2 linked regions of the Lytechinus pictus genome follow. The protein of the gene in region 2 purifies or fractionates together with the protein of the main gene of each other region. This does not show direct contact. Links are inferred from orthologs where the notes say so. Each region holds a gene or a part of one and is shown on either strand. Other genes may lie near its edges. The genes, in order: ubiquitin thioesterase OTUB1-like and deubiquitinase OTUD6B-like.

The links.
Region 1: the proteins of deubiquitinase OTUD6B-like (region 2) and ubiquitin thioesterase OTUB1-like fractionate together in Homo sapiens (co-fractionation; 4 studies listed by BioGRID and IntAct, with this or other methods). This does not show direct contact. The link is inferred for Lytechinus pictus from reciprocal best matches to the Homo sapiens genes OTUD6B and OTUB1.

The regions. Positions count from the first base shown.
Region 1 is NC_087251.1:24,697,034-24,704,498, forward strand, and holds the start of ubiquitin thioesterase OTUB1-like, read right to left. Parts: upstream 3,160-7,465; 5' UTR 3,047-3,159; coding exon 2,983-3,046; intron 490-2,982; coding exon 437-489; intron 94-436; coding exon 1-93. UniProt on the Homo sapiens protein: Hydrolase that can specifically remove 'Lys-48'-linked conjugated ubiquitin from proteins and plays an important regulatory role at the level of protein turnover by preventing degradation.
Region 2 is NC_087246.1:61,250,285-61,257,410, forward strand, and holds the start of deubiquitinase OTUD6B-like, read right to left. Parts: upstream 3,088-7,126; 5' UTR 3,011-3,087; coding exon 2,956-3,010; intron 1,671-2,955; coding exon 1,504-1,670; intron 700-1,503; coding exon 607-699; intron 1-606.

The sequences.
Region 1 (7,465 bases), on a different chromosome or scaffold from region 2:
TACTTTCTGACAGTAAACAGGATCACTTTTGAATTCATCTGTGAGAACAGAAAGTGGTAGCTTCTCACTAATAAGTTGGGTGGACTCTTTTATCTAAGTGGAAGAGAAAATATATACAAACACATATTAAATACACACAATAAATGTTTGATTCCTAATATCATACTTCTGTGATGAATAGAAACTAGATCGATAGTGGACTGTTTGTACTAAAAATAAATGATTAAAAAGTCCATAGAAATTTCTACAATTCAGTAGATCTGATATAAGTGGTAAAAGTCTAAGCCATCAAATTTTGATAGCAATTAATTGCCCATGTCAATGTTATATCAAAGATCAAAAAGCTAAATAAAACAAAGAAATAAACAGAGAGAATGAATGATATACAATTTATTTGATTCATGGTAAGAAAAAAAAATGTCAATTTGATAAATACCTCTTTCTCAAGTTTATCCTGATGTGCTAATATTGCCTCATCTCTTGCCATGCCTACAGAAAATAAATCACACGTAAATGGATTACCGATTAGACATATTCAACAGGAAGTTGCCTTGAATAATAATCATAATCTAAAAAAAAAAAACATTTGAAAAAAAAAATTCACTCTACATCCATCCTACGGTTAGCCTAAAAATTGGTGATTTAGAGCCAACATCGAGTTCCTCACATGTGTAAATAATTCACTGCCGATTTCAAAACATTGCATGCGCGAGGGTCTGAGCTCGTTGATATGATTAAACTTCTTGATTGTTTTATTTTGCCAAATAAATTGAAGAGAATTGAATTGAAACAAAAACATTTTCATGCGAAAATGATTTAAATTAGTGAGTGATGAAAGGATTTATCTTGGCCAGTTCAAATAGTAGAACAGCACTTCATCACATACATACCAAACAAATTTTAATGTAAACACCAATGTGCGCTACCATAAACACACTGAAAGAGACAAGTTCGGGATTTCTTCGAACCCCCTGCATAACTTGGATAACGGAAAATAACAAAAAGTTCTGTAATAAAAGTAATTTTTTCATATTTCAACATCATAATGGATCCGAATAGATAGATATGATACGTACATAGTTTAATGTAAATGATATAATAGCAATAGTGTTAAGTTTTCAGAGCGATATACCTCATTGCAGCTAATCCAAGTGGATGTCAGGTTCCTAAACTAGTTTTTATGGTAACGGTTACCGCAAGAATTTGGAAATGTGCAGCAAATCAGGGATTTAAATTTATAGGCGTTTCTTACATGTAGGTACCATTCTATCGACGTGTTTTGAAGGGGAAGTTCATCCTGACAAATGGAATATGGTAAAAATAGCAGAAAAATGAAGTGAAAGTTTACAGAAACCAGATCAAAGATTAAGAAAGTTATTGGAAGTTTGAGTTTTTGATATGTGACATCATCATACGAGCAGCTGCCCCGTATTTTATGCACCAAAATGTATACTTTTGTAATCAGTTCATGATTGCTAAAAAAATCTTTCAGGAGCGGATGTGAAGGGATTTGTATGTTGATATACTGAAGGTACAATAAAAACCATTTTAATTTTTTTCTTAAGAAAATGACATTTCAGTGATATCTTTTATTACACCACATATGGAAAAACTGCTCGCAAATGACGTCACCATTAAAATTAGACCAAAAGCTTCGGTCTCTGTTATGTTGGTTGTTCAGCTGAACTCCGTTGGCTTCACTCACCAAATACAGAGACCGAAGTTCTAGCGCGATCTGTACAGGGGACTCAATGGCCATATGTTTAGGTACTTAAGATCGGATAAAACGGGGAAGTGAATTTGCGCGACAGCCGAGGTAAGTCACTGTTTTTGTTCCTTTTAACTTGATTTTCTCCGTTTTTGGGCAATTAATGCCAAGAGGGAATATTGATTTGCATTTTGGTCGCGTTAATTTTCAAAATTTTTATTCATTAAAGACAAAAATTGAAGAGCCCCGACGGGGGGATTTCGCATTGCAAGTCCCCTAATGGTGGCTGCACGCTAGCGAGCCGTCTGTGTACGAGGAGAATAAAAATAAAAAAAATGTTAAAAAACTCCTCGAAACAGACGGCTGCCAGCTGTCTACATTAAAATATAAAATTCTAATAGCTTTTTTTAATCTTTGGATTCCCTAAAACCCTCACCAATATCATTTCAATAATTTTCTATTTATACAATAAACTTAATGTCAGGGTAAATTTCCTCTTTAATGTATTATAACAATATAAGTACAATATTTGGGATCCAAAGTGTGCTGAAAATTAGAAGAGCGATTTGACATGAGAAGGCCGTGCATGTAATTCAGGAAAAAAAAAGAAATACTAATTCAAGTGTTATCAATTTGATGCAGAAGATCTAAAGTATGATTTAAAAATGTCACCCTTTCCATTTATAGTCCGACATTATAATTCTTATTTTCTTCTCAGAACCTTTCTTATTTAATCTACTACATGGAGGGACTTTGGGATTTTTTTGGCATGGGATGGGGGTTTGAGACTGGCCATTTATACCTCCGTCATTTTTACCTCTGCCATTTTACTTTTACCATTTTTACCTCTGCCATTTTTACCTTTGCCATTTTTACCTTTGTCATTTTTACCTTTGCCATTTTTACTTCTGCCATTTTTACCTCTGCCATTTTTGCCTTTGCCATTTTTACACCGAACTGGTGTAGCGTTGTGTAGTGAAGCCTGCATGAACATCACTTGAGGTAACATGTAGCATACTATACTAACCTCCATGACCTCATACTACTACTAGTGTGAGTGGGAGTAGCTTAGATCTAGTCTACTCGGAGTCTACTATGTCGACTGCGTGTATAAGAAATCACACGGGCCTGAGTGGACGGTCGGAACTCCAGTCCAGAGAGTCCAGTCCAATCAACTCAGTGAGTCAGTCAAATGAGAAAATTTCACCTTATCCTATACATCACATTTTATCTCCTAAGTTTTGACAAAACAATTCAATCGACAGAAGACGTACCTGTGAGTTGTTCAATTTCTTGATCTACAGGCAAAGATGAAGGATTTCCTTCTTTATTCGCCATTCTTTTGGCAGAAAATCGAAGTGTTTCTGTATTACGTGAAGAAACAAAATGATTATGACGGAGGGTGGCGTGTAGATAACAAATCGATAAGAAAAATCAGATCAAAGCAAAGCAACAAAGACATTTTTTAATGAGTTTCAAGGGGGGGGGGGGGGGTGGGGGGCATGTTAGCCGGCAGAAATATTCAGCCGTTTTTTTTTCTCAAAACTTATTTTTTTCATCTTGATTTGGTATATTTTCTGTATACTCAACGTGATACTAAAGGAATTGGAGTCACATAGCCCCCCCCCCCCCCCCAATTTTAGAAATATAAAGACGTTTAAAAAAGCAAGTACCGGTACCGGTAAATCCATTTCCATAAAAAAAAACAATGACACAGATTTCTCATTTACTAAGAATAAGTAAGAAACTCATTGCATGAGTTGCTTCATTTTGTCACTGATCGGCAGTATAATTGATCTTCTATATATCTATATATGTTTTCAGATATCTTGGGATTACCAAGCTATAGATTTAATGATAATAATAATAACAATAATAATAATAATAATGATAATAATAATAATAATAATAATAATAATTTAAATAATAATAACAATAATAATAATAATAAAAACAACAACAATATTAATAATAATAATGATAATAATAATAATAACAATAATAATAATAATAAAGAAGAAGAGTAGTAATAATAATAATGATACTAGCTAACTTACCAATCTGCAGCACTGCTCAAAATTCTGCTGCGGAGCAGGGGCAGCGGAACGTATTTTCGTTGTGGGGGGGGGGGGGGGGAGTCAAAGCAAAAAAGGGCACTTATATGGCAAAAGGGGTATTTTGGAGCAATCGGATATTTTCAACATATATCTGCGTAAAGTGTTGTGTGTTTTGTACGTAGTAATTACGTTGAGCAAAGCCTTTTTGAAGTGATTTCTGATGATAAGATATACATTTAGGCTTTAGAGCGGTTTGGAATATTTTCAAAATCTAAAGTTCTGAAATTCGCTGTTTGGTCAATTATGGCGCTAATTACTGTTAAATAAAGGGGCATCATTGTGAGCGCGAATCGTGAGCTCAAACATTTTGACATGTAATAAGACGTGAAACTTAAACATTCCGAAAAGTTTTTGTTATCATGAAGAAGCTGAAATTTTAAATTTTACTGACCTGATAAGGAATGCACTTAGTGACTGATAAATATTATAAGAGCGCGAGCTGAAAATTTGTTATATTTCAACCTGTAAACTGGACATTCTAAGTACTTTCTGCAACCATCAAGAACAGAATGACTGGGTTGCGAATGCGAAAGGCGAGCCAAGAAATTGTGACATTCCAACCTGAAAAACTGGACATTCTAAGCACTTTTTGTAACCAAGAACAGAAAGAGAATCTTACTAAACAATAACTGATGCGAGCCAATTTTTTTTGTGATTTTCAACCCGCGCTTCTCACTCACATAATCTTTATTGGTCTTATGTGATACATAATCTTGTCTGTGAAAATAAAAGTATTTTTTTCCTCTTCAGTTTGTTGTAGGACTTACCACCTCTAACCCCCTTTAGCAGCCCACCGGGGATTCCCCCCTCCCCTCTATTGGAAGTGCTGGATCCGCCCTCTTCATTATAGGCCTACATGACTTGATGTGTGGGTGTTGACGCACTGGACGAGTGATGAGGAGGGGGGGGGGGTGTTCGTTCGAGGGAACGTGTATGGATGCATGAGGGCGACTGGGGAGGGTGGTGCGTGTGTGTGTGGGGCAGGGGCGTCGATCCATTTTTCAGATTGGGGGGGGGGGGGGCAAAATCATGAATCAACGTTCCACAGGCGCTCGACCACACAAAACAAACAAACTCACCCACTCACCCAAACATACTCATATATATATATATATATATATATATATACAGTGCGTCCCAGAAAAAACGAAACCGAGATTAAGCGATGATTTATCATAACTTAATCACATTAATCACAAATGCAATAGACAAATTACCTTGTTTGTTTGTTTGTTTGTTTGTTTTATTTCCGTATATAAAATAACAGATACAAAGTACATACAAATACATATAACATGAGATGATGAGGTCAATATTAAGATACAATAATAAAAGGTAAAAAATAAAGTAAATTATACGACTGGTAGTCCATATTCAGCTGCAATAATGCATTGCTGCTGGTCTTCCATGGAGCCAGTTTACATACAAAAATGCTATGATTACCATAAAATAAAGAAAGTTGACCATCAGACATATAAGTGAAATCATTAAAAACAAAGAAAAATCATATAAACTACACCTACCCCCCCTCCCCCCGGTACAAATCAGTGGTTTAATTTCATTTAGCACAGATATATTTCAAAAATGTATTTTTAAAAGAATTGAAAGTGCTGGTGACATTACGCACGCACAAAGGGATTCTGTTGAATTTATGCAGCTCGGTAAGAGAAATATCTTTAACAACTATTGGTTCTAGGTCTGGGTAAACATATATTATTTTCATTTCTAAGAGGGTAAGGAGTAACTTTTGTATGAAACAAATTTTTCATATATTCAGTGGACATGTTGTTACAAATCTTATACATGAATAATATCAAGTGAGTATACTGTCTCTTTTGAAAAGTGTCCCAACCAAGAATAGAATGAATTTGAGAGGTTGAAGTGTGTGAATATAACCGCGGTACGGGGTCAATTTTCAAGATTATTCTTCCAGCTCTATTTTGAATTTTTTGAAGTTGGTCAAGTAGAGATTTGTTTGCAGATTGATAGATAATGTCACCATAATCAAAATGAGGTAAAATTATTGAGTTATATATTAACTTTAATTCTGACAAATTTACAAAATGCTTTAGCCGTGCAATATAACCAATCATTCTCCCCAGTTTTTTACATAAATAATTTACGTGATAGTCCCACTTCATGTTTTCATCCACAAAGACACCTAGATACTTAAAGCTATTCACTTGAGTCAGTAAATGACAGTCAATTTTAGTTGTAAATGTTTTGACGTTTTAAGCATTTTTGGTGTTCCAATCAACATGCTTACAGTTTTATCATAGTTTATTTTCAAATTATTCCTGTTTATTCAGACAGATAGACTTTCCAGCTCCTTATTAAGGACGAGTTCGATAACTCTAATATCTTTGTGTGAGAAATATATTACTGTGTCGTCAGCATAAAGGTGTACGGTGCACTCTTTAAATACAGAAATTATATCATCAATAAATAAAATGAACAGTAAGGGTCCAAGGAGAGATCCCTGGGGTACTCCCTTAAAAATGACCCTTTCTTCAGATAAAATTCCATTAATGGATGTACGTATTCTTCTATTAGTCAAATAACTTTTGAACCAATGCAATTCATCACCAGATATACCAATATGTTTAAAGGAAACCAAAACCCAAGAAGAGAAGAAATCTTATTGGAAAAAGTAAAATGAGAGGAACAATTTAAAAAAAGTTTCATCAAAATCGGTTATGAAATAAGCAAGTTATGGGAGTTTGAAAACTCTTGTTGTACTTTCTATGGGCATTCTCAAATTTTTTTTAAATTGTTCCTCTCATTTTACTCTTTCCAATAAGATTGCTTCTCTTCTTGGGTTTTGGTTTCCTTTAAGTTTGGATAGGAGAATTGCATGATCGACCAGGTCGAAAGCCTTTTGAAGGTCAATAAAAATAGCCCCTGTATACTGCCCATTGTCCATAGAATGAAACCAGTCATCCGTTACCTTAGCAAGAGCAGTAATGGTAGAGTGTTTCGGACGGAATCCAGATTGAAAAGCAGAAAGTAAAGAATGAGTTTGAATATAACGAAGCAATTGCTTTTGCACAATTTTTTCCATTAATTTAGACACACAGGGTAGAATCGATATCGGTCTATAGTTGTTAAATTCAAACTTATCACCTTTCTTGTGAATAGGAACAATTTTGGCTACTTTCCATTTCTCAGGTACAACACCATCACATAAAGATTTATTTATCAAGAAAGTAATAGGGCATATGTTTATTAACAACTTCTAATAGCATTATTTCCCACTTATTGACAGCGTCATTAATATCATCAAAATCTTCTATTATCCTCCAGTTTTGATTACGAAGGTCATTTCTGAAAGACTCCAAATCAACATTTCTGGATTTTCTATACCTTATATAAGTTTCACCAGATGAGAATTTTTGTTGGGATTTCCATATAAAATAACTAATGTAATGATCACTCATCCCATTACATAACACACCGTGAGCTTTCACTTTATCCATGTTATTAGTTAACATGTGGTCAACAAGCGTAGAAGACAAATCTGTCACTCTGGTACATGAAGAGTCATTTATAAATTTTAGCGAGTATACAGTATTAATTTGGTCAAAGATCTTGGTGTTTCCATAAAATGTTGTTTTCGTAATATCGCAGTTAATATCACCCA
Region 2 (7,126 bases):
ATTGGTCAGGTATTACCTACAGATATTAATGACAACTTCAAGGCAAAACATCATTGTTTGGCTTAGTTTTTAGGAAGAAAAATTTATAGAATGAATTCACTCACTGTGAACTAAAATAGACCATAAAACGTAATATAATTTTAGAAATGACATTAACAAAATAATGACTCTGCCACAATTATATTTCACATTTCCTTGATAGAAATGGATAAGTGTATGAATACAAACTCAATAATTCCAACATAAACAATGCTTTTGACCTGCCCATTGGCACGAAAGTAGTTTAATGTAATAACTGATGGAGTTGCTCTAAAGATGCACTATCAAGTCCTTTCATCATGCCTGTGTTGATTTTCTTGTTTTAGTTTAACTAGCTCTTCATATAACTTGGCAATAAATTGATCTTAATCTTCTTTCAAACAAATGAGATTATTTTGCTATGGGTAATCACGTGACAACAAAAAAATCATAAGTGATTCTTTTGCTTTGGATGATATGGTAAGGGTCATCAACAGAATCATAACTCTAACAGGTAGACAATTTTACCTACCCGGCAACCATGAACATAATCTTTTCAATAAAAGTCATGAAAAACACCAGACTCACTCTTCTTTTCTGTGCTTTTGAGAGCTTCTGTGATTTATCCTCAGGTTCTTCAGCGATGTCTAATTTTTCAAGCATTTCTTCTGCTGATGCTTCCTTTAAAAGTGAAGAAATTGGAAAATACACAAGAAATTTAATATTGAATAAAAACAAAATTACAGATTCATTAATCACTTTGACTTAACCCCCCCCCCCCCCTACTCTTCCATTGCTATGTGTGCTTCTCTTGCTTCTCAGACTTGCTGTCACATTTTCAGCATAACATCTGAACCCAATCTCAAAATGAGATTAATTCATAAAGACAGTCAAACAAAAGCTAGTACCAGTAACAGCACCATCTAGGATGCATATGCCCACTCAATGTTTCCCTGTAAAGGGAATGCTCACAATTGATTGTGCAATCAATGCAACAATTTGGTTACAATATACTTTGTACATGACTGCAATGTTTGCAAATAATTACAAGACCTCGCTGTGATAGACACAATGCATGTATACTTTATTGTTAGGACTCATTTAACAAAGGGGCACCAATCACACAAAAAAAAAAAGAAATATGAGATAGCTGCTCAATTTCTTTTCTTTTTGGAGTAAGATTGATTGGATCAATTAAAATGCTTTGACAGACAGATCCTGCAATGATCTCTTCATCATGTCACTAAATAACATCAGAAGCAGGAAATATATATCTTATACTAGTATTACCTTATATGTATATAAAACCTAGACAACACAAGTGGGTGTTTCATAAAGTTCTTCTCAAGTTATCTTCACAAACGAGAGCTAAAATCAACACCAATGAAAAGGGTCACTAGTTGTTTATTCAGTCGTGCGTAACTTACGAACTGCTTTATGAAACTGCCCCCATCCAACATGGTAAGAAAAAGATTATTTTCTTACATTCTGACATACATCATGGGGAACAGCTGCCTTGTTTTTGTTTGCCTCAAGCTCTGCCTGATGCCTCTGGTCAAGATCTGCTTCTAATTGAGCAATTTCCTCGGCTGCTTCTTTCTTCCTCTTCTTATCTCCTTTGGGCACAGCCTTCTTTATTCCTTGAATCTTTGCTGTGATACATTGAAAATCATCCCTTTAATTGTTAATATGTCCAAGTTTTCCTCCTCCTTTCTTCATATTTCTTGTAAGATATTGCCTTCAATATTCTCCTCTACCTCCTTTTCTCCTCCCCACCTCCTAATTCTCCTTCTCTCCTTCTCCCCTCCCCACCTCCTAATTCTCCTTCTCTCCTTCTCCATTCATCTTCTTCTCTCCTCCCTCCTTCTCCTCCATCCTTCTCTCTCCTCTTTTTTTATTCCTCTCCTTAATACTTCATTCACCTTCCTCAGCCTTATCCTTTTCATTCTCCTTCTCTCTCAGGACTTTGACATATGTCTTTTTTTTTAGTTTACTAGTTTGAGCCCCATCCTTCTGCTTCTTGACTCTTTTCTTTTCTTTCTCCTCCTCCTTTCCTCTCCCTCTCACTCCTCCATATTTCTCTTCTCCTTGCTCTCTCTGTCTGAATCAGACAGAGTCACTGCATTGTACGATTACGTACAGTATTACTAAATATTTTGTTAGTCATAACAAAATCAACACTTGCTCACTGCAACCATCCTAGTGATCCTACCTGTGGAGAATCTACAGGTAGGACTATATGGTATGCCAATGCAGTACACAGCACACACTTTAAAAAAAAATCATTGAATTTGAAATATCACTTATGTGACCAAAAGGCAAAAATACTAATTTCCAATTCCATACAGTTGCAATTTATTTTTCATTGGTATTTTGCCTTTTTTTTTAAAATAATTTTTGTATTCACCAGAGGCAGAGCACTCAAGAACTTGAATTTTTGGCATATTTTTGTGTATTGCCTCTATTGGTGGAAAGTAATATGGCCAGAAAACTGTCATTTTTCAATCTCTGTTTTTAATTTATATTTATAAAAAATCAAACAAAGAATCAAATTTACTTGCAACAAATACAAGCCAAGTGTTGAATTTGAAACTGATTGTCAAAAAACCAAGCATTTGTTTCAAAGAAAAAGAGAAAATAAACCAATCATTTCCATTTTTTGTACCACATGGAGTAGTAACAGAGAACAACCTTGTTCATTGAAATGATGAAAATTACCATGATAAGTTAGCAGCCTAGATAGCTGACAAGAAAAGAGTGCTGTGGGACCAAAGACAGATCTACTAGTACTGTCACTACTTCAGTTGTTACTTGGCTAGGCTAGGGCTGTTATTTAAAAACATAAAGCCATTTTAAATCATGATATGTATTGGCGGCTGTATCAAGTTACAGTTGTTGTTCCTTGCCGGGATAACAATTAAAATGTGCCAAAATTACCTTGCAAATCCTTCCGTTCCTTTCGATGTTTTTGCTCCAATTCATCTTGATCCATGGTTCCGAGATTACTTTCAGAGAGTATTGATTGCGAAGATTGCTCACGATCACAAGTACATCTCCGAGACTCCGACGTACAACGACAGTACGCAGTGGATCGGAGTTGAAACGAGCTCGCGCGCAGACTGCACTGGGATATTTTTTTTAAGTGAAAATGTGTAATGTAAATTAAATGCAAATCAGGGGGTGTGGAACTGCATGGGGGTGGCTACAATCTTCTCTGAAAATTGATTACCATCGAATAATTATAATAATGTTATGCTGCGGCCCCTTCTCCCCACTTTCAAAATCCTTCCTCCCGCCGGCTGAAATGTAAGGAAATTTATTGACACCTTCACTGCATGAAAAGTTCTGAAGGAGCACTCCAGGCTGAGAGAGAACTATGATTTGAACAGATATAGAAAAATCAGACAATCAAAACACTGGGAATTCGATCAAAATCGGACAACTAATAACGATCGAAGTTATGACATTTTAAACTTTAAAGATTAACATTATTTTGATGAAACAGAGTCTATTCCATGGCTAGCCAACGGTTATACCACTTAAAGGGGAAGCTGAATTACTGAAGGTATAAAATTAATTTTCAATTGACATTTCATTGATTTTTAAATTCAAAATACATGGAAAGCTGCTAGCATATGACGTCAGGCGTCACAAATCAAAAAATAAACTAATAAAATATTTTTAAAACCTTCACCAATATTTGTTATTATTTTTTTCCTATTTCACTATAAACTTTCTGTGAGGCACCATCACCCCCACCTAATGAATATTCATGACGATGTTCATATAAATGTTTTCTTTAAAAACTGCGTAACTTTTTCGATGAAAATTTCAGGATTTTGCTCACGGTGAATTTTACTTTATTTATACAGATATAATTATTTTCAGGTAGTACTGTACATGACCTCTGTAAAAGAAATGACAGTGATGATAGTACAAACTGGGGCAAACTTAATTTGCCTCATATTAATTGATGCATTTGTGCTGGAACCCAGATCGAAACACTGAAGAAATCAACAGGTGTGCGGTTCTCTGGAAAGTGGGATGCATGAAATGGGCAAGAGAGGCGCAGCATAATTGCAGCAAAGTGAGGGTCAATTTTGTTTTCCTCATTTTAAGGGCACTTTTAAGTCCCTGGGAGAAAAGTCTTGATCAAAGAAATATTTTCTGGTAAAAGGGGAATTTTATGTTTCTAGAAGTAGACGTTGGTCTCTCTTACCGTCCGAGTTATCATACTTCTTGCATGATGGTTTTAGCACACACAAACGAAACAAAATTATCTAATTCATAATCAAATTGTTTTATTCTCTCAGTAAAACCTGTTGTAAATTGACAAAATATAATACGAAGTTGAAATAAATGAATTACAAATCGGTGTACAAGACAGTCTAAAAATTGCATTATGTGGTTCGGAATCGAACTGAAAATAATGCCATAATTGTAGAAATAATATTAATAGTGAAAACTACGCTAATAAGTAGAGGCCTGCGCCCACTAGCGTACCTACGGGGGGGGGCAGAGAGGGCAGTCTGCCCCCCCCCCCCCCTGACGAGCTTGAAGACCTTTTTTTTTTTTTTTGCTTGTCAAATTTTTTTCAGGTACGAAATCCTTCATTTGTGATTGAAGACCTTTTTTTTTTTTTTTGCTTGTCAATTTTTTTGGCGGACGGTTTTGCCCCCCCCCCTGTGAAAAATCCTAGGTACGCCACTGCCTGCGCCTGATTTTCGGCAGACACTAAAAAAAAACACGAATAAAACGAAAAAAATAGGCCCCTATAGTTTTTACTTTGAAACATTTACCCTATGTTATGGGTTGTTATTTTCATATTCGATATGAGTTCAATAATCTTTGACAAAAATTTTGAGATTCAGGCAGGTAAATGATCCTTCTGGGCTTTTTCTTGATTGGTCTCATGAGACCAGTAATAGGCTTATCGCCATACAGGCGCGGTTCTAGGGGAGGTTTGGGGACTGAAGCCCATGCACCCCCGTGCATCCCTAAAAAAATAAGAATTTCAACCACAAAGAAAAAATATATATATATTTGCGTATATGTATTGAATAATCCAGTATTCCATTTTTTGTCTTCTGGTCCTCTAAAATCAAAACTTTACACGCTCCCTCTCAAAATAACATCTAGATACATAAAACATTAATTTTTTCTTGCTTAAAACTGGGTACTTTTCAGTGCTTCAAAGTGAGGGGGCACTGTGCACCCCCCCCCCCCCCCAGGATTCCCGCTCCTGGGTAGGATTTAGGGTTGTCGATCCCTATCATTTCGGATTGGGTGGGGTGAAAAAAAATATCCAAAATTTCCGGCACGCTTAATCCAAGAGCCAAATTTTAACACTGAGAATTAGTAGTTCCCCGAAATCTTGACCGTGACAATTTTTCTATGTATAATAGTATTTTTGTGTCAAGTATAATGGTTTTATAGTGCTTTCCGATGTCATTGTCAAAACTATTTGGGGAACAAATCGATATGTTCGCCCCTGCCCCCTCCCCAGATCGAGGCCTCATATGCAGGTTCAAGTGATTTGACTCTAATACTGCATGTAGTCAATGTGTATACTAAATATATGTAATAAATGGGAAGAGATCCTGGGTATACTTTTGCAGCCTATCTGCATGCATGTTGAGTAATTCAGGAATTTAAAGATGTTGCAGATTTACATTTATTTGGAAGTTCATAATAAAATGCTCCAAAATGCTAGGCTCACTTCTCCCCGGTCACCACATCCCTTAACACATTGAAGCCTCTGAAAGGGGGTTGTTCCCGATATGACATTAAAAACCCCACCCCTGCTATATTCTATATTATACCTATTACGTTATAGTTCTTATCTCTGTAAATTAAAAATATCGCTTTTGAAAGTAAGAATTTTTTCTCTTTCATTTGGCTCTCTTCCGTATGAATAAATGAAAAGCCAACTGGAAAGGGTAACATCATTGCAAGCCCCCTTCTAGAATTATCCCTCTTAAATGAAGTGAAAACACATGCTGTGCCCTCATTTACATTATACACCAATCTGGGCCTGATGGGTGCTGAAATGGTTATGAAATCATTCTCAAGCATTTGTAATTTATTTTGCTCGGTCGCTAAGCCCTCTCGCATATAGAAACATACGGCTATACGCATAGGCGGATCCAGGGGCCCTATTGGCGGAGCAAAAAATGAAGAAATAAAAGGGAAAGAAAGACAAAAAGAAAAAGAAGGGGAAAGAAAGAAGGAAAAATAAGAGGACAAAATAAGAGGAGGGAGACGAGTAAATGAAATAAGGTCAGGGAAGTCTTGGAAAATGATTTTTTTTAATATTTAATGTCACTATATTAAATTTTCGCTCTCACATTGCATGTTCGATGAGATACACATCTTGCTCAATAGGCTGATATGTATCAAGTTTTGAAGTCAATATTCAAAGCATATTTCAGCTCGAACATCGAGCTTTCATTATTTTGTTTGATTTACAAATTGATTTGTTTAAGTGCCCCGTAAAATGTCCGTTTTATGTTGTGAATATATCATTTGCAGCCATAATGGTTAGTTTCGGTCATTATCGCTCATTTGGTTTACCATATCGAAAACTTGTATGCAGTGTACCGGACATGTAAAAACATAGCAGACGACGTTTGCAGACCTCGCGATCATCGTATGACTAGTGGTGCGGAATGTTCCATTGCGGCTTTATGGGGGTAAATAGCATTACAGAGGGATAAAATGTATACACAGATAATGTTTCAGCGTTGATTCGCAATATTTTGAGTCAATTTCCATGAATTATCGTTGTTTGAACATTTAAACATAATTATAAAATGAAAGAAATAAGCAAAACTTAATTTTCAGACTTAGCTATGCAGTGGTAAGCTAGGATGCACCCCTCGTATGCATAATGGACCCGTCACGAGTCTAGGTTTGCTCTTCGGACATCACTATCACAAAGAAAATCTCCTCTGATTTGATGATAAAAGTGCCCTATTTCCTTATTAACCAATCTCCATGGTTCTTTCATGAGTATTTGCCTTACAATGTGCCCTTTATTGTAATCTGGGCGGAAATTCATGATACCACCACCCACCGATGTGACGACGGATATAATCCACCCGGGTAC